3 linked regions of the Saccharomyces cerevisiae S288C genome follow. Changing the gene in region 3 together with the main gene of any one other region gives a genetic interaction. Each region holds a gene or a part of one and is shown on either strand. Other genes may lie near its edges.

Evidence for each region. A genetic interaction does not mean that the proteins touch.
Region 1: mutations in SKG1 (region 3) and ECM7 together harm fitness more than expected from each alone (negative genetic interaction), as found in Saccharomyces cerevisiae (2 studies listed by BioGRID).
Region 2: of SKG1 (region 3) and KEX2, extra expression of one rescues a mutant of the other (dosage rescue), as found in Saccharomyces cerevisiae (one study listed by BioGRID).

The regions. Positions count from the first base shown.
Region 1 is NC_001144.5:1,021,028-1,025,676, reverse strand, and holds ECM7 (Ecm7p), read right to left. Parts: upstream 3,053-4,649; coding exon 1,706-3,052; downstream 1-1,705. Other genes in the region: NGK1 (hexokinase), read right to left, coding at 1-463; GMC2 (Gmc2p), read right to left, coding at 840-1,022, 1,105-1,488; chromatin-silencing protein SIR3, read left to right, coding at 3,426-4,649. UniProt on the Saccharomyces cerevisiae protein: May be involved in cell wall organization and biogenesis.
Region 2 is NC_001146.8:200,915-206,577, reverse strand, and holds KEX2 (kexin KEX2), read right to left. Parts: upstream 4,151-5,663; coding exon 1,706-4,150; downstream 1-1,705. Other genes in the region: YTP1 (Ytp1p), read right to left, coding at 11-1,390; LAP3 (bleomycin hydrolase), read right to left, coding at 4,645-5,663.
Region 3 is NC_001143.9:635,414-643,441, forward strand, and holds SKG1 (Skg1p), read right to left. Parts: upstream 4,556-8,028; coding exon 3,488-4,555; downstream 1-3,487. Other genes in the region: BAS1 (Bas1p), read left to right, coding at 438-2,873; SIR1 (Sir1p), read left to right, coding at 5,127-7,091.

The DNA.
Region 1 (4,649 bases), on a different chromosome or scaffold from region 3:
CAAATCCTTTTCCCATTGCAACTACCTCCCCTTCTGGATTTAGAGGAAAACTGAATGTCACGGAAACAAAAAATTTAGACGCCTCAGATGACTCGTTCTTTTTTTTTATATAACCATTTGCAGCCAGCCTGGTACATATTGTATAGATGATTTGATTAAAGAAATTCGAATCAACGATGTTGTAGGTAAGTTCGAAGGCATCATTGTATTCGATAACGATTTGGGGCAGAGAGATAATTGCAAATTTCAGTCTTGTCCCGCCGAAATCAATGGTCAGAATTTTGTCTTCAGGGTTCCATCGCGATCGTTTATCTGGGACTAAACACTGCGGGAGCATAGAAATCGTATTTGTCTGAAGCCGTGATAACAACTCCTCTTGGAATTGGTCAACTACATTCACTATGGAATCAGCGGGTAAAATCAAGCTTTCTAATTCCCGAGCTAGAGTGCTTTCAATTGTCATGTTCTGAACCTCCTTTTGTTAACTTTTTCTTTACTTGCTTATATGTGAAAGTTCGAGGGGTGGACGTTTATTTTTCTTTCTGGCTTACATTCTTGTGTTTATAATGATAACCGATATACTCAGTTAACTTCCCCGGTGTTCAGTATCCCTGAATAAAATTTTTTGCTATCTGGCGCTAACAATACCTGGCAAAAAAAAAAAAAACATATAAACAAAAAAAAAAAAAAAAAAAATTAACCCAACGAAGGGAACATGACTTCTTTTAGAGAGCCGAGTGATAAGGCCAGTTGTCGTAAAAGTAAATAAATAAAATCAAAAAAAGCAAATGTGAGAAATAGCTAACATTAGCAATATCGCAGATATATTTGAGTATGGCTCATCTATCATCTGTTAGTCTTTGAATAGTTTCCTTAATTTCATTTGCGGATCTTTCCATTTCAATATTTTTGTACTCTAAATGGCGCTCTTTCTTCTTCATCCACGTTTCAGCATTGAGAATGGAGTCACCACATCTTTCCACGTCTATTTGAAAAGCGGATTCACACCAAAGACGTTGTTGCTGTTATTAAATTTGCATTATTAGTAAAAGAACGTAGTAAAATTGAGATGGCACAGGATGCCTAGTTTCGACCTATACTTACTTTTGCTAGCCTTTCCATTTTTTCATATATTTCGTCCATGTCTTTTGTATATTGCTCAATAATGTTTACAGGAACAGTACAAAACAAATCCCAATCCATCTTTTCCTGTTGTTGTTTGGACATCATCCCATCTTGACTGGAGAGGTCTTTGTACGATTCCCGGATCAAATGAGTGATTTCATTAATTTTCTTGAGTACATCATTTTCCAGGATATGGTTTTGGAAGGTTTCCTGTGGATTGTTGATTTGCCATTCGGCGGCTAATTTGAAAAGACTTGGTATATTGTTGGTCACGTCCGGACTTTTTAATGAGTTGGTTCTTTCCAAGTTATTATCCTGGTCGTTCTCAGATGATTGCCTAGGGACTTCCGTAGTATCACTCATGGTTATAGTTCCGCTTTTCTCTTCTTCGTTGCTTAATGATGTTTAGTTCTGAAATAACGATTTTTTAAGCGCTTGGCAATTTCACAAGAAAAAGGTGAAAAAAGAAAAATAAGATTAAACGATGAATGCGATTTTTTGTTTCTGTTATTATTATTATATAATTAAAAACTAGACAAATATAGTATGCATATGCATTTTGAATGATGGGTGAAAGAATTCAAAACTGTAATGCTGACGAAGGCTTGATAACCCTTTGCATACTTTCTTCACTGTCGTTGCTTGACCGGAATCTTATGTCCTGCAATTCGAATTCCTCTCTAGTAGCAAATGGTTCGTGTTTGCCGCCATTGCTTATATTTGCGGTGGGATTTCCATGGTCTAAACTGGTGTTAGCATCATTTTCACTATTTAAGTCAACATCAGATGTTTTTCTTATTGTTGCCATAGTATCACTGTTTCTCATCAGTTCAGCCTCGCCCGAAGTAGACTGTCGTTGCGGATAACGTTGACTGTAAGAAGTTTCATCGTCTAGATCTGCATCAGTAAATACACCGGCTTGGTAGCCTAAGAATTTATCATCGATTCCACCTCCATAGGACGTGCCATTATCGGAAATACACCATTCTAAGCCAGACCAAGCTAAGCATGACACAGAAATCAAACCTGCAAAACACCACAGAAGCGCAAACCATGTAACTCCAAGATGGTAAGAAAACCCGAAGGCCTCTAATTCTGTATTAATTCTAGACTGAATAGTGTAGTTAACCCAGGCAAGGCTTATGCTACTTATCAGGCCCCCAATGAAAACAACTAGCGATAGTAGAGAGTTGATATGAACAAGTGCCCTTTCTTTGAGGGCGTTCATAAACCTTCCCTTTATGTAGTAGTACCATATCATGAAAAATAACATACACACCTGGAAACTAATAACTGCATAGAGTAAATGTAACACGTTGGCCTTTTTATGTTTTAAACTCCTCATGTAGGTCGTGTATGCAGAACTTTCTGCCTGTTGTGAACCGATTTTGTTGTATGCATAATCTAAAATGATATCTAAACCCAAGCTTTCTAAAACCTCACGATAATCAAAAAGATAGTCCGTTCCTATGCTACTGCAGGTACTCTTAGTAGTCGAATTCTTTACGCTATGCATATTTCCTTCAGAGTCGAATACTTCCACCATGGTATATGTTGAATCGCACCTCCCATAAAGCGACACTGTGATGTACTGAGGAACATTCTTTATCTGACTTTCGGTGTAAGCAGTCAATATATACAGTTCGGATGTTGTTAAGCCTACACCGTTATTTTCTTCTGTAGATGTCGACTGCTCCATAGACTCTCTCAACACGGTAAATAAACCCGTCGTAATATCAGCAGAGTAAGTATCCAGTCGTGACATGTACAATGTTCTTGGCGAAGAAAGGGGTCCGACAGTCAACGCCAACCCGAAAGAGATTATGAGTAATGTCGTCCCTAATCTTAGCCACTGTACCACTTTCTCAAGGGCTGTAAGGTTCTGGAATGGCCTGGCTATTGTATCTCGTATTCTTGACATCACCATTTATTTTCGATCCATTAGATATGCAAGGGTATTCGCAATGACTGATACACAAAGAAATGGTGTAAATGAAACTAAGTAGAGAGTTGACAGTGTTAAGCAAACAACGAATCCAGGGGAACAAAGTATTCGGGACGTTTGTTTATGCGGCGTCCAAAAGATGTATTTAAAGTTAACCATATTATGTATCAATCTAAATAAAGAAATAATTGTAAATTTTCATCGCATCAGTAATATGACCGCGAAAACGCTATTCTTTCCAAAAAAGTTAAAATGAACATAGTATGAAAAAGAAAAACACATAAGCAGCCCTTTCATCACCTTCCTTACAGGGGTTTAAGAAAGTTGTTTTGTTCTAACAATTGGATTAGCTAAAATGGCTAAAACATTGAAAGATTTGGACGGTTGGCAAGTTATCATTACAGATGATCAGGGGAGGGTTATTGACGACAACAATAGAAGAAGATCAAGAAAAAGAGGAGGAGAAAACGTATTTCTGAAAAGAATTTCTGATGGATTGAGTTTTGGGAAGGGTGAGAGCGTGATATTTAATGATAATGTGACGGAAACATATTCTGTCTACTTGATCCATGAGATCAGACTCAATACACTTAATAATGTTGTGGAGATTTGGGTTTTTTCTTACTTGAGATGGTTTGAACTCAAACCAAAACTGTACTACGAACAATTCAGGCCAGATCTAATAAAGGAAGATCATCCTTTAGAATTTTACAAAGATAAATTTTTCAACGAAGTAAATAAGAGCGAGTTATATTTAACTGCTGAGCTATCAGAGATTTGGCTTAAGGATTTCATTGCAGTTGGACAGATACTGCCAGAGTCACAATGGAATGATAGTAGTATCGATAAAATAGAGGATAGAGATTTTCTAGTACGTTATGCATGCGAACCTACTGCGGAAAAGTTTGTACCAATTGATATTTTTCAAATCATAAGAAGAGTAAAGGAAATGGAACCCAAACAATCTGATGAATACTTGAAAAGAGTATCTGTACCAGTGAGTGGGCAGAAGACAAATAGACAGGTGATGCATAAGATGGGAGTTGAAAGATCTTCAAAAAGACTAGCAAAGAAACCTTCAATGAAAAAAATTAAAATCGAGCCCTCTGCAGATGATGACGTAAATAATGGAAATATACCGTCTCAGCGAGGAACGTCAACAACTCATGGTTCAATTTCTCCCCAAGAAGAGTCTGTTTCCCCTAACATCTCATCGGCGTCCCCTTCTGCGCTCACATCACCTACAGATTCTTCGAAAATTTTACAAAAAAGATCTATATCAAAGGAACTAATTGTTTCAGAGGAAATACCAATAAACTCTTCAGAACAGGAATCCGATTATGAGCCAAACAATGAAACATCTGTGCTTTCAAGTAAACCTGGGTCAAAGCCAGAGAAGACATCTACAGAACTCGTTGACGGCCGAGAGAATTTTGTATATGCAAATAATCCAGAAGTGAGTGATGATGGTGGGCTTGAAGAGGAAACAGATGAAGTTAGTTCAGAAAGTTCTGATGAAGCAATAATACCAGTAAATAAAAGACGTGGCGCTCACGGAAGCGAATTGAGCAGTAAAATT
Region 2 (5,663 bases), on a different chromosome or scaffold from region 3:
TGCCCACTATTCAAACGTTAAAGGGAGTGGTATCTTCATCCACATCTTCGTTCGATATGTTATCTAGCTCAAAGCTCACGTTATTGTTTTCCTCTTCAAGTTCGTATGATTTCGGAAGGAATCCTTGTTTTCCCTTTTCAAGTAGATATAGGTAGAATTCCAAACATGCAATCATCCAGAAGTAGACCAAAAATGCGCCTGATACGATAATTAGAACGTACGCACTATGGTCGCCTCCCAACCGCAACACTAAAATGAGTTGTTCTTCGTTTGCGCCCATAAATAGGAGACCTGAACATACTAAACAAAAGGGAGCAAGGTATTGGAATGAATGTATTTTGTCCAGCGTTCTTTTATCACGTAGTAAAAAAGATATTTCGATAATTCTTAAAGCGCCTCCACACATTAAAACTAGCCCAAACATATTATGGACTTTTGTGCTAATTATCAAGTGCTGGGCGTGCTCAGACATGGCCCATCCGGTGAAAATAATAATCAAACTTGGTACAAATGTTCTTCTGCCATTTCTGGAAAGGAAAATCCCGAGTATTCCACCAGTCCACCAGATAATTCCCATAAACGTGTGTTGATAATCGTGAACACTCCATCCTTCACGTCCCCACCTGTGTTCAGTAAAAGTATTTACAACGCCCCATATGCACATAACCCAACTGTCGACGTAATCCTGTGAATATGAGGTTTGGGCACTGCGAATCCATGGTATAACCAAAACCAGTACATAAATGAACCCGTACAACACAAACGCGGATCCCATGATACCATGAGCGATGCATTGCCCTGTGTGTGCCTCTCTACAAAACCCAAAGAGCGCAACAGGTGCCAAACAGACTTTAACCCAACCTGTTAGAACAGTTAGAAAGGATAAACCACGATGGATATATGACAACCTTTTCTCACCTGCATTTGATATGAACGTTTGCAACCTCTTGCTTTTCACTAAGAAACCAGTTCCTCCAGCTAATCCACCAAAGAATAAGGTTATCCAAGTAAGTCCCACCAAAAACCATGCGGTTCCCCTTGAAGTTCTATTTTCTACCCCATCATTGTCTTGAAATCTTAATACGGCAGCTTCTAAGAAAGCGTAAACGGCACAAGTGCATTGTAAGAGGGTAGCTGAATATATCCTGCCAGCGAACGAAAGGCACGTCACCACGGATGGTAAAAGCAACAAGAATCCCAAAGTGCAGAGCCAGTGGAAAGATTTCGACCCAGCCTGCACAATTTCTGGCCTCGTGTATCCCGAAGTATCATCCATGCCCATATCATGCTCCATATCACCGCAGACTTTTTCAAAGAAAAAGCATATTAGTAGAATTGCGCTAATGGATCTGGAAAATCCGAAGACAATATTCTTATTAGCTGCTGTCATTCCTTCTAGGCAGGTAAGGTTTATTCGACCTATTTTTTGTTTTGTCTGCCGTTTTAAAGTTATTCAGCTGTGGTCTTAAATATGCATTAATTGGACCCTCCCCTTTTATGTGCTTGATATATCGGTTCGGAGTTTTCATTTTATTCGCGGGTGCAAACAATGCAAAGTACATCATAGGGATTTCAAACGGAAGGAATAGGATATTAATGTTTGTTTATATATCATATACACATATACGTATACGTATGAGAGAGTATTATAATCTATAAGAAAAAAATGCTATTTTGTAATTTGAAGCTTTCTGTACATATCGAATCACGATCGTCCGGAAGATGGAGGAACATCAGGCTGTAATTCTTGTAATTTATTGGAAGCAGATTCTGCGTTGGCGTCATTTGGGAACTTTTGCTTTATAGGGTCACTAAATGGATTTTCGTTTGTTAGTACACTATCAATTGTATGTTCAGCATCACCGTTTTCTGATGAAGACAAACTTGCAAGATGGTCTTCATCGGACAAATCAAAATCGAAGTCCTCAACCTCTTCGGGCTCAGTAATTCCGGAAGTTCCATTGTCCAAAGTAGAATCGTACTCAGAGTCTGTATCAATGATATCGAATTCATACGTTTCCGCTCTTGACCTTCTGATCCTTCTCCTTGATTTCATAAAAAACATGAAGTATAACACCAAAAATGTGGCGCCAATCAAAAATATTGTTAAAAAATAATGCATGGCTTGCCTAGGAGAGGAAAGTTTTTTAGGAGTGTTTGGATCAGAATCAGGATCGGTACTCGCAGTAGTCGTTTGGGGAATGGCCGACGTTTCCACACCAATTGAGATAGAAGATGTAGAAGTAGCGCTGATGGAAATAGAAGTTGAACTGGCAGAATATTGTGATACGGTACTTTCTGTAGCAGCTGGTTCAACCTCCTCTTTATCGTTTCCAAAGACGAAAGTTTCTGTTTTAGATGAATCAATGGATTCCCCAAAGAGCTTCAGCCTCCAACTGTGGAAGTCAATCCTGTGTCCATTTTCTGTTGTCTTAACCTTGATTTTCCAATCACCTACGCCGTTCTCACCCCAATGTGCTACAGACATGAATGTCCAGTCTTTGAATCCCTCTGATGAAACATCTCTTGGTCTTACAACGCCAAGGTTTGAAATTATCCCCGCTGGTGATATTAAATCGACAGTCGTAGTTCCCCTAATTTCTGTATCAATATCTACAGTTACCGTGACGTGCTCAATTCTCTTGAAGTTAGCATCTTGAAGACTTTTTTCTGATATGGTTATGACGGATTCTAATGTCTCTTCCGTGGAGTTTGTGGACTGGGAAACATACAATGTTGGCAGGTAAAACCAGGTTTGTGCGTTAACATTCTCCCAGGTCTTGGACATTTCAATTAACTTATGGGCATCGATTTTACCAAAGCCATAGCGATGAGAGTATTTCTTCCCCATGGCGCTATCTCTCCAATCTCCGTCAGCGTTCTTTTCTAACCCTACCGCAGACAAGATTGATAAATACTGTACGTCTCTCCAAGTTAGGTTTGGGTTGGCTTCTAGTAACAAAGTGTAAACACCGGCAGCTAATGGAGCAGCCGCAGACGTTCCACCGTGGCTATTACTGCATCTGCCGTTGATATCACTCGAATGAATATATTCGCCTGAACCTGAAGAATACGTGACTGCCATGACGGCGGAACAACCTTCGGAATAAGGAGGATGTAGATCTTTGTGATCAATAGCCCCAATAGTAATAGAATATATGGAATTAGTATAGCCGTCGTAATTGCAATTATCACCACGAGTTCCACCATTTCCACTGGCAAAAACGTAAATCGCTCCTTTGGAATCTCTTCCCTCAGTAACACCTTTTACTAAAGCCTTTTTCACCAGGTCACTAGGGCCTTGTAAATGTCTTCCGTCATCAGCGGGACCCCATGAGCATGAATATATATCGTTTACGTCTAGACCATAAATCAAGGACGCAGCTTCATCTTCCGTAGTGATATCACCGGATAAGATTCTTATGCCTGAGATTTTAGCGTTGTAACCTACCCCGACACCGCAAAAATTGTTACCTTTTTTGGCAGCTATTTCACCTGCACATCTCGTACCATGGTAGTCATCAGATAATCTTGGTTTAGGTAAATTGGTATTGTCGTTGAAATCCCAAGAACCTTCAGCGCAAAAATTATCCTTCAAGTCTTCATTTTCGTAGTCAAGGCCATCATCAACAATGGCAGCCACGACCCCTGCGCCTGTAATATTATTGTACCACAGATCAAGAACATTTATATCACTGCCAGGAAAACTTGGATTGACCAAGTGCCACTGCCTCTCAAAAAGCGGATCATTTATGCTGAGTTTATCCTCAGCTTCTTTTACCGGTAACAAGCTTGAGTCCATTGGTGGAGCAGGCACCGGTAGTCTCTTAAATAGGTCGTTACGCGGGAATAAATCATGGACAGATAATATGTGGTCGTTGTTATCCCCCTGTAACTCTTCTAATGATGATCTTTTGCCCAATTTTAGCAACTCTTTTGAAAAAACATAATGGTTTGGTAGCCCTCGAACATCATGTTCATATTTCCAATTTGGATGCATTTCCTCCAAGCGGGATAATGTTTCATTGCTTTCTACAGCAAAATACTGTCGTGACGTATGGTCCTTCAATGGAATTTGTTGTGATGATACAAGAGCGGATGTTGAAAAGGCCCACCAAAAGCATAAAGTAATATATTTCCTCACTTTCATCTGATAATGGGTTAGTAGTTTATAATTATGTGACGAGGCCAAAAAACAACGGGATTAGTTTATCCTTAGTATGGTAGCCGAATGAATGAAATATGTGGAATAGATTTCTCTTTTACAAAACGGGATGTTTAAGCCAGGAAAAAGAACAGGCTTATGACAGAATTATGCATATGAAACGAGAGAAAGAACACGTCCAGCAAATATGGAGTACCTTGTTTGCCTTTAGAAAATGTTTCGGTTTCAATACTGTTCTCTTCAGCGATGCTGTTGAAGTATCAGCTCAGTTATTTAATATGCTAACCTTTCCTTTGTTTGTTTTCTTTTTCTATCTTTATTTTTTTTCCATTTACCGTTTTTTGCGTTTCAGAAAATGACCCTCATTGATTATATGAATAATAATATACACGTTATCATTTTTTATTTCTTTTATGTATGTATAGTAAAAATAAAACATGTCGAGATACGTGTATCTACATCAGAGCTGCTGAAACTATTTATTTGGCCAAAGCACCCATTGGGTCCCAGATGGGCAAGACAATCGGCTCTTCCTTACCTGAGGTGAATTTTGAAGCCAGCTCTTTTGGCAATTCATTGATATCGACCACAATTTGAAAGCAGTACTCCTCGAAGTACTTTTGAGTCATCACGTATAATCCGTCTTTACCGGAGTCTTTACCCCAGGAATTTTCAACGCGGTAGCGAAGTGGTAATTTAGACGTTTCATCGACGTGGCAGCCAGTGATCAACATAGCATGAGTCATCAAACTTTCATGGTATCTAATACGCGATGCCTTTTGCTGAGGTAAATTATAGCCGATGGCAGGATAGTTCCACAATTCAATATCCATGACACCAGTTTTCTTGTCCATGAACTTTGGAGTGTGAGATCCAAAAAAGACAGCTTTGTTATTTTGTAATCTCTTAACAACCAATTTAGATAGTGTTTCATTGTCAACATTTAAGTAAATCACGGCATCTCCGCCAAGGACGTTTCCTAAACGATCGATCTTAATTAATTTACCATATGGGTGTCTTGGATCATTGATCAATGAGACTGGCGTGGAAGGGTCCAATTTTGCGTATTTGGAGGCAAATTCTAACGGAGTCGATTTGATAGTGTGGATTTTCTTGTCTTTGTCAACGTATTCCCAAGTGAATTGCTCGTTTGGTTGCACTGGAGGTATGTCCATGAACAACGACATCAACCTGAAGATTTCTCTTTGCATTTGCTCTCTCAGAGTGACAATTATGGAATCATCGGCAGAACGCTCTTTCAAAGCTGTTCTTAGAGTCTCGGCAAATTCTCTCAGTTTAGTAGTCAACAGAGAATTCCATTTTCTGGACGCAGTAGTAGAATAAGGTAGATCCCCGTATAAATCTTTGGGGATAAGGCCATACTTCTTGACTAGGTTCAAAAACATGCTGTATTGGCCACCGTCTTCTGTTGGAGCTGCTAACAAGTATTGCACGAGACGTGAGTCGATGTCTTGATCAGCCGAGGAGACGATTTGGT
Region 3 (8,028 bases):
GAAATCACCTTTGACGATGTGCAACGGAGAAACTATTTTTTTTTTTCTTTTTTTCTTTTTTTTTTTTTTTTTGGTCCGAACAATGCGATGAGCCAGACGAAGAAAAAAATAAAAAATGAGAATGAGTAATTATGTTAAGACCTTTAGAAGAAATAGGGTCCAGTCACAGAATAAAGCCCCAGGAAACTTTAAAGCAATCGAAATTAACCAGCTATATTTATATAATAAGAAATTTTTCTTATTAGTTTACTATAAAGGACTAGTGTACGTTTTTTGTGTTTAATTATTTGCTTTCTGATAATCCGGTTTGCTGATTTGAATCGTTCTCTGCAACAATTGTTGATCTCTAGTGGGGTAAACAAAATTAGTTTTGTTTAAAACTTTTGTTGTAGCGTTTTTGCTCTTTTTTTTTTATCGCAGAATACATTTTATCGAGAATGTCGAATATAAGTACCAAAGATATACGAAAAAGTAAGCCAAAAAGAGGATCCGGCTTCGATTTACTTGAAGTGACTGAATCACTTGGCTATCAGACACACAGGAAAAATGGAAGAAATTCATGGTCAAAGGACGACGATAATATGCTACGATCGCTAGTAAACGAATCCGCAAAGGAGTTAGGCTATGAGAATGGACTTGAAGACGTAAAAACAATTCAACAATCCAACCATCTTTCTAAATGTATTGCTTGGGATGTTTTAGCTACACGATTCAAACACACCGTAAGAACTTCAAAGGATGTAAGAAAGCGTTGGACAGGATCTCTGGACCCAAACTTGAAGAAAGGTAAATGGACACAAGAAGAGGATGAGCAGCTCTTGAAAGCTTATGAAGAACATGGGCCTCACTGGCTGAGTATCTCCATGGATATCCCTGGAAGAACAGAGGATCAATGTGCGAAAAGGTACATTGAAGTGTTGGGACCTGGAAGTAAAGGTAGATTAAGAGAATGGACGCTCGAGGAAGATTTAAATCTGATAAGTAAAGTGAAGGCATACGGCACGAAATGGAGAAAGATTTCGTCGGAAATGGAATTCAGACCAAGTTTAACGTGCAGGAACAGATGGCGGAAAATTATTACTATGGTTGTGCGAGGACAAGCATCAGAAGTAATAACAAAGGCTATAAAAGAAAACAAGAACATAGACATGACAGACGGAAAACTCCGACAACATCCAATCGCCGATTCTGATATACGCTCAGATTCTACACCGAATAAAGAAGAACAGTTGCAGCTATCTCAACAGAACAACCCTTCATTGATAAAGCAGGATATATTGAATGTTAAAGAGAACGAATCGAGCAAACTACCAAGATTAAAGGATAATGATGGACCCATTTTAAATGACAGCAAGCCACAAGCATTACCTCCCTTAAAAGAGATATCTGCACCTCCACCAATCAGGATGACGCAAGTCGGTCAGACTCATACCAGTGGTAGCATTAGGAGCAAAGTATCTTTACCAATTGAAGGTCTTTCTCAAATGAACAAGCAAAGTCCTGGAGGAATCTCAGATAGCCCACAGACAAGCCTTCCCCCAGCATTCAATCCAGCATCTCTCGATGAGCATATGATGAATAGTAATAGTATTTCAGATTCTCCGAAGCATGCTTATTCTACTGTGAAAACTAGAGAACCAAATTCCTCTAGCACACAATGGAAATTTACATTAAAAGATGGTCAAGGTTTGTCAATTTCTAACGGAACTATTGACAGCACAAAATTAGTAAAAGAATTGGTTGACCAAGCTAAGAAGTACTCTTTAAAAATTTCGATACATCAACATATTCACAATCATTATGTTACATCCACAGACCATCCTGTCAGCAGCAATACTGGATTGTCAAATATAGGAAATATAAATGGAAACCCTCTATTAATGGATAGTTTCCCACATATGGGTAGACAACTGGGAAATGGTCTTCCAGGGTTAAATTCAAATAGTGACACTTTTAACCCAGAATATAGGACTTCTCTGGACAACATGGATAGCGATTTTTTATCAAGAACACCCAACTATAACGCATTCAGCTTGGAAGCAACTTCACACAATCCCGCTGACAATGCAAATGAACTTGGTTCACAAAGCAATAGAGAAACAAACAGCCCGTCTGTATTTTATCCTCAAGCAAATACATTGATCCCAACTAATTCTACCGCTACAAATAATGAAATCATTCAAGGAAACGTTAGTGCTAATAGTATGTCACCGAATTTCAATGGAACAAATGGCAAGGCACCAAGTTCGACGGCATCATATACAACGAGCGGTTCAGAAATGCCACCTGATGTAGGTCCTAATAGAATAGCGCATTTCAACTATTTGCCACCAACTATACGGCCTCATTTAGGCTCATCAGATGCGACAAGAGGTGCTGACTTGAATAAGTTACTCAATCCATCTCCAAATTCAGTAAGAAGTAACGGCAGTAAAACTAAGAAAAAAGAAAAAAGAAAAAGTGAATCATCTCAGCATCATTCTTCATCATCTGTGACAACCAATAAATTCAATCACATTGATCAGTCGGAGATATCAAGGACTACATCCAGATCTGATACTCCATTGAGAGATGAAGACGGCCTGGATTTTTGGGAAACGTTAAGATCCTTGGCTACTACGAATCCAAATCCTCCAGTTGAAAAGTCAGCTGAAAATGATGGTGCCAAGCCTCAAGTGGTACATCAAGGGATTGGCTCACATACAGAAGATAGCAGCCTAGGTTCCCATAGCGGAGGATACGATTTTTTTAACGAACTGTTGGATAAAAAGGCAGATACACTGCATAATGAGGCTAAGAAGACGAGCGAGCATGATATGACGTCAGGAGGTTCTACCGATAATGGGTCAGTCCTGCCACTGAATCCTAGTTGAGAAGGCAAGGCCGAAAAAAAACACAAATCTTTCAATTGTTTAACATATTAGTTTTGTAATAAGCATAAGTGTATATTATACATAGCACAAGATGGATAATATTCTCTGAAAAAAACGTGTAGTTTCATGACTCGCATTTTTTTTTTTTTTTCTTTCATGTTGATTAACATACTTGAATTCTGTATTTAAGCTGTATAAAAAGTTGTTCTATTTCATATACGGCGATTTTGCATAATTAAGAACTTTGCCTTGTACACTATTTTACTAGGGTATTCTTCCAAGATTTCTCTTCTTATTTTTTCCCTTTATAAGTCATTGTAGCAACATAATTTCCTGGAAATTTTAAGGGAATATATTTCTTTCCGCCCACAAACACAAAGGGCGTTTAGTAAATTATGCGGCGATGTATAAAAGAGAAAGCAGGCAAAAAGAAAATGAAAAATGAGACTATGAACTTTAAGAATTATGTCTTGACTAATTTTTTAAAACCCATCATCCATGAAGAGTTCTGTTTGTATTGTTTACGTTTGATGTTTGAAGTGAATTTAATAGAATTGTTCCTCTTTTTTTCTTCTTTTTTTAACTATAATATAATGTTTAGTATATCAACAGTACTATTTAGGCCTTAGACTTTCTATGAACTCTCTCTTACTCTGTGAGTAGTTGGTAAATTCGTTTTCGTATTGATCTTCCTCAGCAATTTCCCCGATATTGCCCACATCATAGTTATTCTGTAATTTGTATAAATCCTTATCTTTATCTGTTATTGCAGACCTGCTATCCTTTACCGAGTGGTCAGCATCCATTCCTTCGTTATCTTTATCAAAAGTGTTTGGTAACTGTGATTGAGCCGCACTTTTGGGTGTTGCAAACACATCCTCTAGGGCATCGCGCTTATTTACCGATGTTATAGAGGAATTCCTTGTATGGAAGGACGCGTTTGAAATGTTACCATTTAAAAACGAGGATGAAGCTCTCCTTGGGTAATACGAACCAAAGTCCTGATTCTGCAAATTTCTTATCAGATTTTCATTACTAGATTGGCGAGTATTATGTTTAAGTTCTATCATCGAAGCTTTGTTTTGGTCATTGCTAGTATTAGTATCACTGGAAGGATCTGCGAAAAAGTTTGGTCCTTCATCAGAAATAACAGGGACCATCTGATCATAAACGCTGATCTGTCTCTTTGTTATATGCCGTTGGGAAGATGATAAGGAAACATTGGAGCTGTTATTTATACTTGGTAAATCCACAACGGACTTCTGCCTGGCATTATTGCCGTAGTTATTATTTCGTACTTGAAGTAAATTTATTTTCCTACGGTATGCTGGCACATAGTATTTACTATTCTTTTTCCCTAACGGTTTCTCTTGATCTCGCGATTTTCCATCTTTTTCTTCTGGATGAGCAGATCCTTCCGATGAACCAGAAGTGTGATCAGGATTTTTTAGCTCGGAGCTGGCTAGTGCTGCTTCATCTTTACTGTCTCTTAAGGGTCCAAAATTGTCAAAGGACACGAAACCACTTTCATCATAAATAGCCCTTTCCAATTCTCTATCGTCTTGTTCCTCCCTCTTGTATCTTTTTTGTAGGTTAAACCAGAAACATACTGCTATTATAATACCTACACCGACGGGTATACCCACCGCACAACCCACCGCAACTGATGTGCTGGCAGTCATCTCTTTTACTTCTTACTACGATGAGCTCCCAAAAAAAAAATATATCCCTGATAAATAACACAAAACTAAGAAGCCGGACCTAGGTGAAGAGTAAAATAAGGACTCGAAATTTTGTCTAATACTCAATAACTCAGTACAAAAACTGCCTCACAGTATAAAATATCCAACTTAGAGATATTCGTTTTAATTGTCCCGAGCAGGCAAACGATAACTGATCCTTAGTCACAATAATAAGTCTATGCTTTCTGTTGAAAAAGAACAAATAGCGAGCGAGTCAGCAAGCAGAATCTAAAGAGGCTTGCAACGAATGGTAGGCAAAGAATTTCTAACCCGAAACCTCAAGCGAATGGTGGATTCCTTACTTCCAATCTTCTAAAAGTCTTTAACTCTGATTTCGAGGATCAGTACTTTTTCTATGGTTTATTAATATCGGCCTCGAAAAGTTTGTCGCGAGAATTTGGGCACATGTGACCCGGAATGTATATTGAGTAATATAAGAATGAGAACAATAATGTCAATAATCACACGTCGTTATAAGCAGCTGAAAAATTATAAGATAATATCAAAAAAAATGCTACAGATCAACTCCAGGCTTGCAGTTATTGATGGATGGCTGGTAGACACTGTGAAGCGAAAACCAATAAATTTTCGGAGTCCTGAAGTAAGATTACTGTTACCCAATGACGATGACTACAAAAAGCTATCACAACAAAACTTGGTGGACTGGACGCGATTAAAGAAGGATTCTAATTCGGTGCTCGTTGGAGTGAAATCTATGGAACTATTTAAACACATAAAGCTAGTTTTGCGAGAGTTTTTCTTGTTAGAAGATGGAAGAATAATTCTGAAGAGGATCAGAAGCAAATTACGTTACAAAGTTGTCAAGAAATTAACTTGTAAATGCTGCAGGTTATATTTACCAAAATGGGGCACCGTGTACATACATCCGATGCTAAAAGATAAAGAAAAGCCCTTAGCGGGGGTATGTGAATTTTCATTGGATGTAAACCCTGATCGGGAGTATCCCCTTATTGAGATCAATGTTAGTCATCAATACATTATAATTGAGGGCTTCCTTCTATACTTAAATGAAAGGAGGCTCTATAGGTGGAACGATAACAATTTGAGGAGTCAGGTTGGCTTAACAAAATGGGCCCATTTAAGAAAAACTTACAATCCGGTAAGCCTTGACATACTTTATAGTTTGAATTCAAATTTTTATTTTGTAAAGGATGATCTGCTATTTCAATTATTAGGAAAGAGGGTATTTGTTAAATTTTGTAAAGTAATGGAAAATGGAAAATGCGGTAAGGCTCCACTGTGGTATCGTGTGAAGAGAACGACAACTGCCAAAGCAACACATATTGCATATGCCATATCAAATTCAACAGCCCCAGATTCATTCAAAAGTAAAAATAACGATTATAGGTTTATTGTCAGGGAAAAGCCAATTGTGGAGAATACTATCTCCAACCTGGATTATTCAGACATAAAAAAACAGCAGTTTACTGAAGCAGAGGTTGTAAAAAGAAAGATCTCAGCAGATATTTCTCAAATAGAGAATGTGCATACGCAATTTAATAGTCAAAAGGAAAAAAATAATATCAGGGTGAATAAGGTTTCTAGCGAGGTCCTAGATCAAATTTCGAAATTTCCTGTGTCCAGAGTCACCTTACTGTTGATGTCTGCTGGTCAAGATAAAAATTATATTGAACTTGTTGAAGAATTGGCAAGAAGGTTGGAAAAAATATGCATAGAAAAAACCACACAATCTTTAGAAGAGATAAGGGATACTTTTCAGGCGAATCCTGAGATGCAGGCTAGCTTTGATAAGGAATATTACCAGAGCATTGAAGAATATAAAATTACACTCGAACTTATTAAGGAAGACCTTTTGATTACTCTGATAAAACAAATGGAAAATATGTGGGCAGCTGAAAAAAAGTTTAGTACAGAGGAGGAGTATGTTTCGCCGAGGTTTTTAGTAGCAGATGGATTTCTAATCGACCTAGCAGAGGAAAAACCGATTAACCCAAAGGATCCGCGCTTACTGACACTGCTAAAAGATCATCAGCGTGCCATGATTGACCAAATGAATTTAGTTAAGTGGAATGACTTCAAAAAATATCAAGATCCTATCCCGCTGAAAGCCAAAACCTTATTTAAATTTTGTAAACAAATAAAGAAAAAATTCCTACGAGGTGCGGACTTCAAGTTACATACATTACCTACAGAAGCAAATTTAAAGTATGAGCCGGAGCGGATGACAGTTTTGTGTTCCTGTGTCCCTATTCTTTTGGATGACCAAACTGTCCAATATCTGTATGATGACAGCATTATTCCTGAATTTGAAGCAACATCTTCATATGCAACAAAGCAGTCAAAGTGTGGGCGGAAAATGTCTTTGCAAATGGAGCCTGACCTCCTTTTTCAAGAGGCCATTAGACGGATGCGACATTTAACTGCTTATGACGTTTTGAGAAGAAACTATATTGCGGCATTTGAGGAGCTATATATGGGAAACTGTAACGATTAAATAGTTGGTAAGATTATCAGTTATGGATACCAACATATAAGCGGGTGATGTCTCATTTCAATGAGGTCAGATAACTGGTACAGTTTCGCCTTTAATACACTTGTTTGACAGAAACTTGTTTTTAATTGCTTGATTAGCTAAGTAACTCGAGCCGTACTGTAGTACCGTTAAATATATATTATGTAGGACTTAGTAGAATATACTAATAATAGATACTGCAATTGATGATCCCAATTACTGTTTTATTGACTAACTTTCACTGAAATGTTTTCATTCTCTGATTTTATATTTAGTTGGCGAACTAGCTCATCCTAATTATAATTAAACTTATATATAGCATAAACCGACAATAATGCGTGGGTGGTCCTCCATGCCGAATTTGTGAACTGAATTATTATCTAAGCACTGGATCGATCACCTTAAGATGATATATTATTTATAACTAAAACGCAGCAGCATTACACTCCAGAGTAACTCCTGAATTTCGTCATGGCATGTACTTATACTATATAACCAACAAAGGATGACTGAATAAGAACCAAATACTTTTCAAGAGATAAGATACGCGTTGCCATTGTTCGCAAGGCAGATCAAGAAGCTTCCTAGGCCTGTGAAAAAAGGAGGAAAAAAGAAATGAATTTTCTAGCTGTATTTAGATTGGATTTGAGGTTCACTAGTATAAGCAACAGCTCCAGTTCTTTAGTCAAGTGCCAGCTTCCCTTGAAATATTAACCTCCCTTTTTTCTTCGTAAACCACTATTATGACCATCGGCCTGTTAATAAGGAGAAAAATAGAAAACTGAAGCAATAGCGGTATCATAAAGCTGACCGTGTAAAGTCACCACTAACCTCCCAATAAACTCTTCCAACTCTGTTTTTTTCAAAGCTAGTGGTGCATTTGAACGCTATTTAGGATTCCGATCTCTTCAGAAACATG